Linked DNA regions of Oryctolagus cuniculus. The protein of the gene in region 2 interacts with the protein of the main gene of each other region in a pairwise test. Links are inferred from orthologs where the notes say so. Each region holds a gene or a part of one and is shown on either strand. Other genes may lie near its edges.

Region 1 (6,818 bases), on a different chromosome or scaffold from region 2:
AAGGGCTGTGGTCCACTCAGGGTCTCACTTTCCCCCAGGCCACGCTCAAGACAGCAGCCTGTTGGGAGGCAGCCCAGCTCCTGGGCCTAGAGGAAGAACCTTAAGCTTGTCTATTCATAGGGACATTGGGCCCTGGGTGCAGGTGCCCAGATTCTGCTAACGAGAATGTCTGTGTTTGATCCTGGGCTCCCTCAGTTTGTCCATTTGTTCACCCACCCGCCCCTGTCTCCGGGAGGCTCCCCCTGGGGAGGAGCGTCGGTTTTCAGCGTGTACTGATTTCCTTCATGCTCTCCTCAGTGCAAGATTCCCTGGCCGTTTCTGAGGTTAGCTTTTACGCCGGTGCCCTTCCTCAGCAGGTGCTGCGTGTCAGAGACCTGGTAACAGGACGGGTTGTAGACGGCACTTCCCCGCTGGCTGAGCGCCTCCCCAGGGGCCTGGAGCGTGGCGGCCTTAGCACTCACTGGGGCAGTGAAGGCTCAAGAAGCCAGCCTTCTTTCCCATCCTTGTCGTCTCCCTGCTGCCTCTGACACGGGTGGCCAGGTGACATAGCACTCAGCCATTGCCAAGGTTAGCACCCTCTCCAAACCTGGGGCCACCATCGTCCCCTGGGGCTTTGTCCCTGTCTTGGTGTTGAAGGTAAACCTGCTGGCCTGTGTTAGTGAAAGATGATGTGGTCCTTGGCAGTGCAGCTTCTTGAGAGGGCTCCTTGAAGGATCCCATCCCCCCGCTCTCTGACCCTGGTGCCCATGGGGCAGGTTCCCATTGCTTGGGCCTGGGAGGGGCAGTTTGCCTGTTTCTGGTTTGTAATGACCATCTTCTCTCTTGTACCATTCTGTGGCTTCCTTAGTGTAGACAGTCGTTCCCTAGCAGGGTAGGGGATAGGACAGAGGGTCTGGGGCCACTCTGGACTGCCCAGTTTGTAGATTGGGGAGCAGATTCTGCCCTGTTCTGCTGCTGCTCACAGCGAGGGAGGCTGTCCCCACTTACACTCAGTGTTTTCCTGGCACTAAAGAGGAAGGGCCTGCAATCTCCTGCTGCTTCCCAGGGCAGGGACCTCTTCAGCACTTTGACACCTGCAGACAGCCAGCCCTGTTAGGGGTGAGGTGTGTGCGTGCACATACATTCTCTTCCTGCCAGGGCTGCTTCTCCCTGTCCCTGCTAGGCCCTGTCTCCCCAGCCCCAATTTGGGACCAAAGTGCAACGTGGGATCATGGGTTGGGGCCCTCAGGTGACCCCTCTAGTGCTTTCCTGGGACAAGCTGACACCAGCCCCCGGGATTGGATGGGATGGTGGTGCTTAAAGAGGAAGGGGACCAGTGTAGCAACTTGCCAGGGGCCCCGCCCCTACCCCTCTGGGCCTGTGCAATGGGCGTGGGGATTCCCAGCAAAAGCCAGGGGCCTGCGCTAGTTCTGTAGCTGCTGTTCACGCGCTCACACCTGGCCACGTGCACGTTCCCTAGATGCAGATTGCTTTGAACTTTAAAACTGTACCTACCATGTGGTTATGTTTGTGTCGATTTAAATTTTTAACGGGAAAAAAGCGGAGAACCCTGGGAAGGACTTAGTTCCTTTGCTTCTCCGGGGGAAGTTCGGGGAATCGCTCTCTGCGCTTTCATAGAAACTCAGCCTGTCCACGCCTCCCGAGGCCTGCGTCACATTCGACACGTGGCTCCGCCGGCTCGGCGCAGTTGCTTTTTCTCGGGACCCTGCGTGTGGGAGGGGTTGCTTGGGCGGAGCCCGCCCCTTTCTGTGCACCTAGCGCTGCCCGCCCCGCTTGTGTCTGAGATCGTGTATGTCCAAATAAAGCCGCTAGAAACAAGTGTGCCCGCGTCTTTGTGAAAACCTCGTGGCTTCCGGAAAGACCGGCCTAGCAGGCTGCCAGCCTCATCGCCGCCGCCGGCTCCATCCTCGTCCCGCTCGCCCGCGCCGAGGCTGGGGGAGTGCAGCTGCGTCGCGGCGGACGCTGGGAGGGATAGGGGAGGAGGCCGCGCCCTTGCCGCCAGTTCCGCCTTTGGATCCGCCAATGAGGAGCTGACCCGCTGGGTCCCGTGTGGGTCCCCATAGCAACCCGGCGCGCTCAGCCTCGCATTGGCTACGTCGGTTGCTGCGGCGCAGACCGGCGCTCCGACGCGGCGGCGGTGCCACGTATGCGGCAGCTGATTGGTGCGCTCCAGGACACGTCACTGGCCGCGCCGGGTCCGGCCCGAGTTCCGGGCCCGCGGCCCTCTGCTCCGCGTTTGCTCCTGGTTTGTGGCGGCCCGGCCCTGGCGTCCGGCGGAGAGTGGACCAGGTGGAACCAGAGTCGGTCAGTCTGGCTGGCAGAGGGCGCGGGGCGGGGCACGGCCGGGCGGGCCGCTCCGCCTTGGCTCCTGGGACTGAGTCTCCCGTCGCCCGCAGGCGCGATGAAGGCACTGATCTTGGTGGGCGGCTATGGGACACGGCTGCGGCCGCTGACGCTGAGCACTCCGAAGCCACTGGTGGATTTCTGCAACAAGCCCATTTTGTTGCACCAAGTGGAGGCCCTTGCCGCGGTGAGGTCCGGGGACAGGGTTGGGCCAGGCGGGACGAAAGATGGCTGGCGACGGGACCGGCGGAGGGGTTGGTGGGAGCCTGTGCCTCCCCTGCTGAGCCCTCCTGCCTGTCCGCTGTGCTGTCCAACAGGCAGGTGTGGACCACGTGATCCTAGCTGTGAGCTACATGTCGCAGGTGTTGGAGAAGGAAATGAAGGCGCAGGAGCAGAGGGTGAGGCCTTGACTCTTGCCCTTTTCTTTAGTGCCTGGCCAGCTTCCCACCTTGAGGGAGAAGTTGACCAGGTGATTTCTCCCTTCCAGTTGGGAATCCGAATCTCCATGTCCCATGAAGAGGAGCCTTTGGGGACAGGTCAGTGCAGATAGGAAGCCCCTTGGGAAAGGTTTAGAGCTTTCGGGAAAGGGAAAGACCTGGCCTGGGTGGAGTCCTGGTCCAGGTGTTCAGAGCCTTAACAAGGCGGCACCTTGGTCCTGTTTCCCTAGCTGGGCCCCTGGCCCTGGCCCGGGACCTGCTTTCCGAGACGGCAGACCCTTTCTTCGTCCTCAACAGTGACGTGATCTGTGACTTTCCCTTCCAAGCCATGGCGCAGTTCCACCGGCACCATGGCCAGGAGGGCTCCATCCTGGTAAGAGACCAGGTCTTCCTGCTCTAACATTCCCTCTCCCCGTGCCCAGCCTTGAACCACCTCCTTTCGTTACGGGTATGGAGCTGTGCAGCATGTATCTTTGAAGAGATCAGAGCATGCACGTCCAGGTTCAGGAACGCTGGACCAGGCCTGGGCCCCCCTGTATTCAGGTGACCAAGGTGGAGGAACCCTCCAAGTATGGTGTGGTGGTGTGTGAGGCTGAAACAGGCCGTATTCACCGCTTTGTGGAGAAGCCGCAGGTGTTTGTGTCCAATAAGATCAACGCAGGCATGTACGTCCTGAGCCCTGCCGTGCTGCAGCGCATCCAGGTGTGTAGGGACAGCTGCTGGGGGGCTGGGCTGGGACAGGCCCCTGGCGCCATGACCCTGCTCACGAGCTGCCCACTCCCACAGCTGCAGCCCACGTCCATTGAGAAGGAGGTCTTCCCCGTTATGGCCAAGGAGGGGCAGCTATATGCCATGGAGCTGCAGGGTGAGGCAGGGAGGCACAGGGTGGGGGTGGTCTGTGGCTGGGCTGAGCCCCCTGATGCACCCGTCCCTGCAGGCTTCTGGATGGACATCGGCCAGCCCAAAGACTTCCTCACCGGGATGTGCCTCTTCCTGCAGTCGCTGAGGCAGAAGCAGCCCGAGCGCCTGTGCTCGGGCCCTGGCATCGTGGGCAACGTGCTCGTGGTGAGCTCCCTGCCCAGCCCCTGCTGGTCAATTTGTTAAAGATTTATTTATTCATTTGAAAGGCAGAGTTAGAGGCAGACGCGGAGAGACGTCTTCCGTCTGCTGGTCCACTCCCCAAATGGCCACAACGGCCGGAGCTGAGCTGATGGAAGCCAGGAGCGTCTCCGGGTCTCCTGCGGGGGTGCAGAGGCCTAAGCCCTTGGGCCATCTTCTTTCCCAGGCTGTGGCGGAGTAGCCGGGGCGGCACTGTGGCATCGCCTCCTGCAGTGCCCACATCCCATGTGGGTGCCGATTTGAGTACCGGCTGCCCCACATCCAGTCCAGCTCCAGCCATTGTTGCCAGTTGGGGAGTGAACTGGAGGATGGAAGACAAATCTCTGCCTCTGCCTCTGCAATAAATAAATCTTAGGGGGGAAAAAAAGAAAGGAGGGGAGCAGCCGGGACTCGGACTGGCGCCCATATGGGATGCTGGCATTGCAGGCAGTGGCTTCATGGGCTAGGCCCCCAGCCCCTTATCGGTTCTCTCAGGCCTGGGTGACAGGTGGCCCACTTGCACTTTCCCCGTGGCCCTCAGGACCCAAGTGCCCGGATTGGTCAGAACTGCAGCATCGGCCCCAACGTGAGCCTGGGGCCTGGTGTGGTGGTGGAGGACGGCGTGTGCATTCGGCGCTGCACGGTGCTGCGGGACGCCCACATCCGCTCGCACTCCTGGCTCGAGTCCTGTATCGTGGGCTGGCGCTGCCGTGTGGGCCAGTGGGTAAGCCTGTGGGTGGGGCCAGGTAGGCGGAGGGGCGGGGACGCACTGTGGCTGACGCAGCCTGCTCTGTCCCCCGGAGGTGCGCATGGAGAACGTGACTGTGCTGGGCGAGGACGTGATCGTCAACGACGAGCTCTACCTCAACGGGGCCAGCGTGCTGCCGCACAAGTCCATCGGCGAGTCGGTGCCGGAGCCACGCATCATCATGTGAGGGCCCCGCAGGCCGAGCTGCCGTGCCCTCGGGCCGGGGTGAGGGCCCTGGACTTGCGGGGGAGGACTGAAGGCCACCGGAGCTTGTTGGACACCTGCCTTCTCCGCGGGCTCCCCACTGGGCACCCTGCACATGGCCCACTCCCCCGAAGAAGGGCCGCGGCCAGGGCTGTCTGGAATAATAATTTAATGCTCGCTGTGGCCCTGACTCCTAGTTCAGCTCAGGCACAGTTAGGGCCGTGGCTAGGCTCCCACCAATCAGACTGCACACAGGCTAGGAGGTTGGAGGTGGCAGGGAAGGTGGCAGGGTGAGGGGAGCTCATAAATAGGGCCCAGCCTGGGGTCTGGGTCCGAGGGTGGAGGTTCCAGAATGCTGTGGGCTAGGCAGCCGAGGAGGTGGAGGTGGTGGTGGTGGTGGTGGTGGCGGCGGCGGCGGCGGCACCACTGGCACTGGCTCCCTTCTCCCAGTCCTCTACTGACACAATGGTGGCTTTGCAGAAGAAGCAGTCCTTGTTGTTCATCAGGTGCTGATCGATGCAGGCTCTGCAACACCGGGGCGGGGGGCGGGGGTGAGCGCTGCACGGGGTCCCTGTGCCCCTACCTGCAGATGCCTGGAGGCTACTTACTTGCAGGACTTGTGGCCACAGGGCTGGAACACGGCAGAAATGGGGTGGGCGTAGCAGATGGGGCAGAGGTCCTCCTCACTGGTGGGCTGTAGGAGGGAGCGTTAGGGCGGGCTCAGCTGGGGCTGGACGCTGCTGTCTGTGGGTGTGCGGCGCTCCTACTCACCAGGGAAGCAGCTGCTGCCTGGGCGGAGGCGGAGGTCAGGTGCGCCAGCATCTGTTCCACCTGGGCCAGCTCCTCAGCACTGATGTAGTCCGCATCTGGGGGGCAGGAGGTGGGGTCAGGCCCACTACGGCCCTGGAGCCTAGTGCCTCCCTTGTCCCAGTCTGGGAGCCGGCTGTTCTTGGGGCTGAAGACCACGCCCAGTCTCTGGTCTTGCCCTAGGCCACTCACAGCTCTGCAGGGAGAAGCGCTTCCGGTCAGGGGCAGGCAGGGCAGCGCCAGGTGCTGGGGGCTCTGGTTGCCCCAGAAGGTAGCTGATGGAGCGGAGCTGGAAGCAGGGGTCAGCCAGGAGCACGGACGTGGCTCGCTCTGTCCTGGGGAGGGGCGGGTTTAAGGGCAGTGAGAAGGCTTGGGGCCAGACAGGAGTCTCAGGGAGCAGGGGGTGTGGCAATTCCGACCATCCGTTAGCACACCCTTTGGCCTTTTCATCTCCCTGCTGCTTAGCCAACCCTCCGAGGTCCCGGATTCCAGAAAGATCCTACACAGCCAGGCCACCGTAAGGTACTCAAAGCCCACAGTACATTAACCCTTCCAAGCTACTTCAAATAAACAAACACGAATAGCTTAGAGACGTTCTTGCCGGATTCCCAACCGCATTCCCAACCGCTGCCCTTGGGATAGTGGCCCTCTGCTCGCGCCCCCTCTGGCGGCCACCCGGGACGCAGCCGCTCCGCCCCTTGCGACGGGAACCAATGGGAGCCGAGCGCCCCGCCCCCTGAGCCATGGCCTCCCGGGGAGTATTTAGGAGCCCGAGCGGGGCAGCACCGGGAGGCGGCTAGGAGAGCCGACCCAGGCGCGGAGTGCAGCGCGGCCCCGTCTCCCGCTGGGGGCCGTGGAGCGGCTGCAGCGCGCCTGGTGCCGCCTCGGCCCCAGGCCGTCCTTTGAACCACAGCGAGAGTGGGTGAGTCCAGGAGCTGCGACCCGCGCCCGGCCGCCGCCGCCACCATGGCCTGGCTGTTGCTGGGCGCAGTGCTGTGCATGCTGCGTGTCGGGCTAGGCACTGAGGGCTCCCCGCCTGCTGCGCCCCACAACTGCCCCTACAGATGCGTCTGCGCTGCCGACCTGCTGAGCTGTGCGGGTCTGGGGCTGCAGGACGTACCAGGTGCGTTACCTGCCGCGGCCGCACACCTCGACCTGAGCCACAACGCGCTCCAGCGCCT
Region 2 (5,862 bases):
CTGACCAGGTCCACACAACTTTGCCACTTGCCTGTGAACTTGGGAAAATCTTCCCAAGCCTCCCTACGTGTCCACCACAAATTCTCACAGGGCTACAGAGCACAGAGGGTGTACGGAGGTGGGTCTATTCATCTTTTGTTGCTTCCTTGTTATCAAGGACTGGATCATCGCACCCAAGGGCTATGCTGCCAATTACTGTGACGGAGAGTGCTCCTTCCCCCTCAACGCACACATGAACGCAACCAACCACGCCATCGTGCAGACCCTGGTGAGCGTGCCCACGTGCCACTTTGCAAATGGGACCAAACCCAGACCAGGAGCCTTTCCTAAACGGTGCTCTTCCTGCTGCTGTTTCCTAACAGGTGCACCTTATGAATCCCGAGTATGTCCCCAAACCGTGCTGTGCTCCAACTAAACTCAACGCCATCTCAGTTCTCTACTTTGACGACAACTCCAATGTCATCTTGAAGAAGTACAGGAATATGGTTGTAAGAGCTTGCGGATGCCACTAGCTCACAGCCGTCTGCTGGGGACACGAAGTCCACTCTGGATTCCTGGGTGACAACTGCCTTACAAAGCATTCAGAACCACAGTGGAAGTGAGATAACTCTGAAACCCATCTCATGCTGGTGCCTTACTGCCCCACGGAAGGCTTGAAAGGACCTCACTGGTTTCGTACATAACGTGAATAGTCGAATGTTTCACAGGTTGAGGTCTGGCGACTGCAGAGACAGAACTTTGAAGAGCTCCCTGCCCCCGCAGCCCCCCAGAGTTAGCTGGAGCTCAGGCTGTTTGTGATGTTAGTGGGTAAGTAGGGAAAGCAACGTCGGGGAGAGTGAAAGCATCCTTGTCTCTGGTGTCAGCGGCTCAGTAGCATCTATCACAGGTTGGTTATGCAGGATGATGCAGGTTTTGCTCCCAGGAGGGTCAGTTCCCATGGGAGAAACAGCCCCACCTGTAGCCAGGTGCCTTTTGTCTCAGTCATGGCTGTTACATGGTTTGTGCTGTAGTTTGTATGAAAACAGACTTGACTTCAGCCAGAGCCCACCCCATCATTTCCACACCTCCACCCTCTCCCGCCTGTATTCTCAGAGACAGAGTACGCAGAGGTGAGGCGCGGCGCACTCACCGTGGCCCTCGCCTTAGCAAGCAGCTCTGCACCCCCTCTACATTGGCCTGCTACCTTCAGGAACGTCGGCTCTGAGCGCTGGTGCGTTAACGTGGTTCTGTGCCTGTTCCTGTACAGCCCATCAATGCTGTAGTTAGAACCGCTAAAGGAGACATCGAGAAGGGGCGCCTGGCCGTTAGGAAAGGGTTGGGGGTGCTGAGTGTGCTGTTTATAAACTGAAATCTGAAATCAGTTTCCTCTGGTAGAAAGCTAAGGCTCAGATTAAATCTTAGAATATTTTTAAAGATGTCTTTTTCACAATTCATGTACTGGGAAATCAATTTCATACTAAACTGATTAAATAATACATTTATAATCTATAGTTCTTTGCACTTACAGCTTTTTTTGTAAATAGGAACTATAATTTATTGTCTATTTTATATCCCTTTTGCTGTAACATGTAAGGAAAAGACTGGGCTTTGTTTTTTTTTAAAAAGTTTATTTAGAAAGTATAGTGTAAACAAATTGTACCACTTTGATTTTTCTTCCAATACAAGACTCATGATGCAAAGCCGAAGCCTTACCCGAGGCCTGGGCTTCTGGAGAAGGTTGGGTTTTTCAAGAGTATCTGTGAACCACACGTGATCAATAAAGATTCCCTGTAAGGCAGGGGCCGGCTCGAGATGCGGCTGTCCCCTGCCACGGCACACGGCGCCGGCGGCTGCTCTGTGGAGGCGGGCAGAGGGCACGGGCCACAGAGTGGCTCTTCCGAGAATGACTCGCTGGTAAAGGACAGGACAGGTCTGTATCTCACGGGAGCTCAGTCCTATGGCTGCTCACTTCCAGGGGGCAGGGAGGCGGCGGTGGGGGTGGTGACAGTTTAACGGCAGGATGACACCAGACCCAGGACACTAGCATCCATGACTGTGCACACCTGGGACCAGAACAGGCTGCCGGCTTCAGTCTTTGGTCTTGAGGTCAAAGGAATCCCCTCCTTCATCCGTCAGCCACCTCGTAGGAGGGAGGCAGGTACTGCAAGCCTCCGGGTCTCCCTGGGGGCCTAGGACCTAGGAAAGCAGCCATAGGACCAGACCCTCCCCGGGAGTTAACAGTTGGGACGGCGCCGCGCGGGACTGCCCGCGTGCACGCTTCTACGGAAGGCAGCCACTCTCAAGGCTCTCACGGTGACGTCGTCAACTCCTGAGCCCTTTTGGCCCCTGAGGAAGAGACGGGAGCATCCTGGAATGATACTAATGGACCAGACGGGTAGGAACGCATCGGGGGCATCACGGCGTTGGAACCCGCACCCTCAGGCACGTGTCAGGAGGACCCCTGCTTTCGCTCTGGCTAACCTCTTGTGGGGGGAGAGGTGTGGCACAGAAAATCCACTGGCAGCCACGGAGGTGTCTTCTGGGCGCGTGGGTTCTTCTTTCTCCCTCCGCTCCCGGCCTGACCACGTTTGTTAGTAAGTCGACGTCAATGGACGGTGACACTCGGATCAGCGGTCGCAGGCAGTCCCAGACACCGTGCTTTGGGGGATGCTTGCTTGCCACAGAATCACCCAGGAGCCGAAAACAGTCCAGTTATTTGCTTTTTCTCAATTCATTTTAGCCTCAAAGGATACGGTTTAATTTCATCAAGAGAAAGTTAGAAGGGGGTGTGTCGCCACTGACAGCAGCGAGTGTGCACAGTGACCCCGGGTTACACGGAGAAGGTGCCACACGGCCCGCGAACTTGGCCGTGACTCCCGGAGGCCGGCGCCTGCCCGCGGGGCTCCTAGAGCTCGTCTCTCGCCTGGCGCAGGACGAAGCCGTGCAGAGAGTCCAGGTCCCGGCCGCCGCTGTGCTCGCTCACTTGTTTTCCTCCCCGGAAAAGCAGCAACGTGGGGTAGCCTCGCACCTTCACGAAAAAGAAGAAAGGTCTGAAAACCCGTGCTCCCCATCGCTCTCTCACACGCTGCTCCTGCAGTTTAGGGGCTGGGAAACTCGGCGGCTCGTTTGCAAAGATGTACAGAGCATTGAAAAAAGACCGGAGAGTTCAGCAGGCAAAACCTCGGGGCTGCACGGTCGACTGAAGATCAGTACGGGAGGGATGGCGCTAGCCTCTCTCCATCTTTAAGGTGCATGGGAGAGGCAGGGGGCGGGGGCGGGGGCTCTGCACTCCTGCCCAGCGCCCTGGCCCAGCCCCACCGTGAGCTGCAGCAAGACTCTCACAGCGTGCACCAGGCAGGTGCAGCTCGCTTCCTTGGGCCTACTAACCCGACAGGCATCTACTAGTAAGTGAACCGCGTCTGTGTTACCTCCACCCTCCCTCCAGCGAGGGCATCAGCTCTAACAGGGCAGGGCGGGGGTGGGGGGATGCCATTTTTCCTCCAAGGGCCGTCTGGGTATTTATAACAGTCACAGACCATACGAAATCATCAACTTCTTAAACAATGAGCCTGCTACTTGCGACGCCTTGTATGTGACCTTACACAGCCCGTGGGCCAGGCATCACCGCCCCCCTCCCCACCTCGTGGCTCTACCACCTGCAAATCATCCCGGCCGTTAGACCAGGAAGACAGCTCGGCCCGTTCCGAGGGAAGTTTCTAAGTGTGTCTCTGCAGCGCAGCAGAGGGCAAGCCTCGAGAGCGCCCCCGGAGACTCAGGAGGAGGGTGGGCCCTCGGGGGAACCCTGCGTGTGTGCGCCCGCGTCTACTCACCGCATGCCTGCTGCAGATCTCCCGCTCAGCGGTACAGTCCACCTTGGCGATCTTGACCTCCGCCAGACCAGGGAACTCCTTCTTGGAGAGCTCCTCCCAGGTGGGAGCTAGGTTCTTGCAGTGGCCGCACCTAGAGAGAGAGCAGGGACAGCTCCGCTGGGGTCGCCGGTGCGGTCGTGCACCCACGCACCCACATGGCACTGCCCAGCTGCTCCGAGACGGCCTGCAGCGGTCACCAGGTTCCCGCTGTGCGCGTGCTCACTCCACCACCTCCCGCCCCAAGTCCATTTCCAGGTCACCTAGAGAAGCAAGCAAGGTCTGGGTTCTGAGCTGCTTTCGTCTGGTGAACAGAGCTCACTGGCTCCTGCATGCACCGGGAGCAGGAGAGGGAACAGATGTCCTAGCCCGCCGGCTTTCGGGCGCAGCGCGAGCTCAGGGCTTCCGTCTCGTGCGTTTCACACCTGCCCCCTGGCCCCCCTTTCTGATCCCTTCCCTCCGCGTGGACGGCTTCTCTCCTGTCTTCTTTCTTTATGCTTGATTGGTACTCATGTAGCTTTAGGGCTTGTGAAACCAAAAAATTAAGACTGCAAACTGGGGCTGGTGCCGGGTTCTAGTCCCGGTTGCCCCTCTTCCAGTCCAGCTCTCTGCTGTGGCCTAGGAAGGCATTGGAGGATGGCCCAAGTGCTTGGGCCCTGCACCGATCTGGCTTCAGATCGGTGTAGCTCTGGCCTTAGCGACCATTTGGGGGAGGGGAACCAATGAAGGAAGACCTTTCCGTTTCTCTCAAAAAAAAAAAAAAAAAAAAAAAAAAGGATTGCACACTGCACGGCTCATTTGAGTCACTGTTCTCGGTTGTTGCGGCTTCTCACGGATACCCAGCCTGAACTAAGCTCAAGGCCTACAGTGATGCGTAACCTCGGCCCGTCTACACAAGGAGGACCATTCCCCTCAATGCCCTGTGTGTCCAAATGGACCTGCTGTCTTCCCACCAGCAGCCGGTCTGGGTCTCGGACCTGCACCGTCCATTCATGCTCCCAGGACCACGTGGTGGGAGGGATCGAGCACTGGGTCACGTACCGAGTGGCTCCCAGAGAAAGCTGAGCTCCGCTGGCCTGCTCTGCACCACTGCTGAACGGACCCGGAAGAGCTAAGCTCTAGCCTGATGTGCGTGGCTCTCCCCAACAAAGATTTGGAGAAAGTACAAACGTGTGTCTGACTGTCGTACTTCACTGCTATGTGCGTTCTCTCCAAAGCAGAAGGGGCTTTAAAATAACCCCTCTACACGTAATTGCGAACGAGGCCCCCGAACCTCAACGCGCCTGCATCCGAGGGCGGAACGAAGCGCATGACCCCCGTGTTAAGTGGACCACCCGCCCGCACTGAGCCCGCAGCGTTAGGCCAATGATCGGGGAAAAGGACGTGACAGCACCGCACCAGGCGGCCACTTACCACGGAGCGTAGAACTTGACGAAGGTTATTCCCTGCGCGACGGTGTCGTCGAAGTTCTTCTCTGTGAGTGCCAGCACCATGTCCTTCGTGGGGGGAGAGAGCCACGGTTTCTAACACGTCACTCAAGCAGGGCAAGGCCGGCTGTTTTTCTTAAATGCCGTCTTATACGTGCTCCAGGTTCACACACACGTACCCACACAAGCTCCACCCCGGGGCAAGGAGGCCAGCAGGCTGAGGGGCCCGAGCCCAGGAGAGGCCCGAGCCGGGCGCTGCACAGACACTGTCTCAGGAAAGACGTGCCAGACTGGAAGCTCCCGGGGGGACGCTCAGCCGCTCTGCCCGGCAGCCAGGACAGGTTCAGCCCCGTCCTCTGGAGCCCGGTGGTGTAGACATCACTCCGTGCTAGCGTCTGCGGCGCCCAGGCTTGTAGCCTCCAACCCCGAGATGGGTGAAACCACCACCCCCCTCTCAGCTCTGCCTGGGCCCCTCCTTCACCCGAAACTTTTATCTTCTCTCTGCTACAAAAAGCACAGGTAATGCTGGGTGTTTTTACTTAGAACGGGCTTTCGACTTTTATGCTCAAGGGAAACGTGAACTATGTCCC

Evidence for each region.
Region 1: the proteins of TXNDC5 (region 2) and GMPPB interact in a two-hybrid assay, tested with the Homo sapiens proteins (2 studies listed by BioGRID and IntAct). The two-hybrid records come from large-scale screens. The link is inferred for Oryctolagus cuniculus from reciprocal best matches to the Homo sapiens genes TXNDC5 and GMPPB.

Annotation. Positions count from the first base shown.
Region 1 is NC_091441.1:99,539,118-99,545,935, forward strand, and holds GMPPB (mannose-1-phosphate guanylyltransferase catalytic subunit beta), read left to right. Parts: upstream 1-2,145; 5' UTR 2,146-2,304; intron 2,305-2,396; 5' UTR 2,397-2,401; coding exon 2,402-2,530; intron 2,531-2,660; coding exon 2,661-2,741; intron 2,742-2,830; coding exon 2,831-2,879; intron 2,880-3,010; coding exon 3,011-3,153; intron 3,154-3,323; coding exon 3,324-3,482; intron 3,483-3,566; coding exon 3,567-3,645; intron 3,646-3,717; coding exon 3,718-3,845; intron 3,846-4,419; coding exon 4,420-4,602; intron 4,603-4,662; coding exon 4,663-5,124; 3' UTR 5,125-5,192; coding exon of another isoform or gene 5,193-5,355; 3' UTR 5,356-5,438; coding exon of another isoform or gene 5,439-5,524; 3' UTR 5,525-5,601; coding exon of another isoform or gene 5,602-5,696; 3' UTR 5,697-5,829; coding exon of another isoform or gene 5,830-5,972; 3' UTR 5,973-6,225; downstream 6,226-6,818. Other genes in the region: E3 ubiquitin-protein ligase RNF123, read right to left, coding at 5,193-5,355, 5,439-5,524, 5,602-5,696, 5,830-5,972; AMIGO3 (amphoterin-induced protein 3), read left to right, coding at 6,604-6,818. UniProt on the Homo sapiens protein: Catalytic subunit of the GMPPA-GMPPB mannose-1-phosphate guanylyltransferase complex. Catalyzes the formation of GDP-mannose, an essential precursor of glycan moieties of glycoproteins and glycolipids. Can catalyze the reverse reaction in vitro.
Region 2 is NC_091436.1:162,674,922-162,680,783, reverse strand, and holds the end of TXNDC5 (thioredoxin domain-containing protein 5), read right to left. Parts: intron 5,342-5,862; coding exon 5,259-5,341; intron 3,940-5,258; coding exon 3,810-3,939; intron 3,008-3,809; coding exon 2,885-3,007; 3' UTR 1,587-2,884; downstream 1-1,586. Other genes in the region: BMP6 (bone morphogenetic protein 6), read left to right, coding at 158-268, 363-512. UniProt on the Homo sapiens protein: Protein disulfide isomerase of the endoplasmic reticulum lumen involved in the formation of disulfide bonds in proteins. Can reduce insulin disulfide bonds.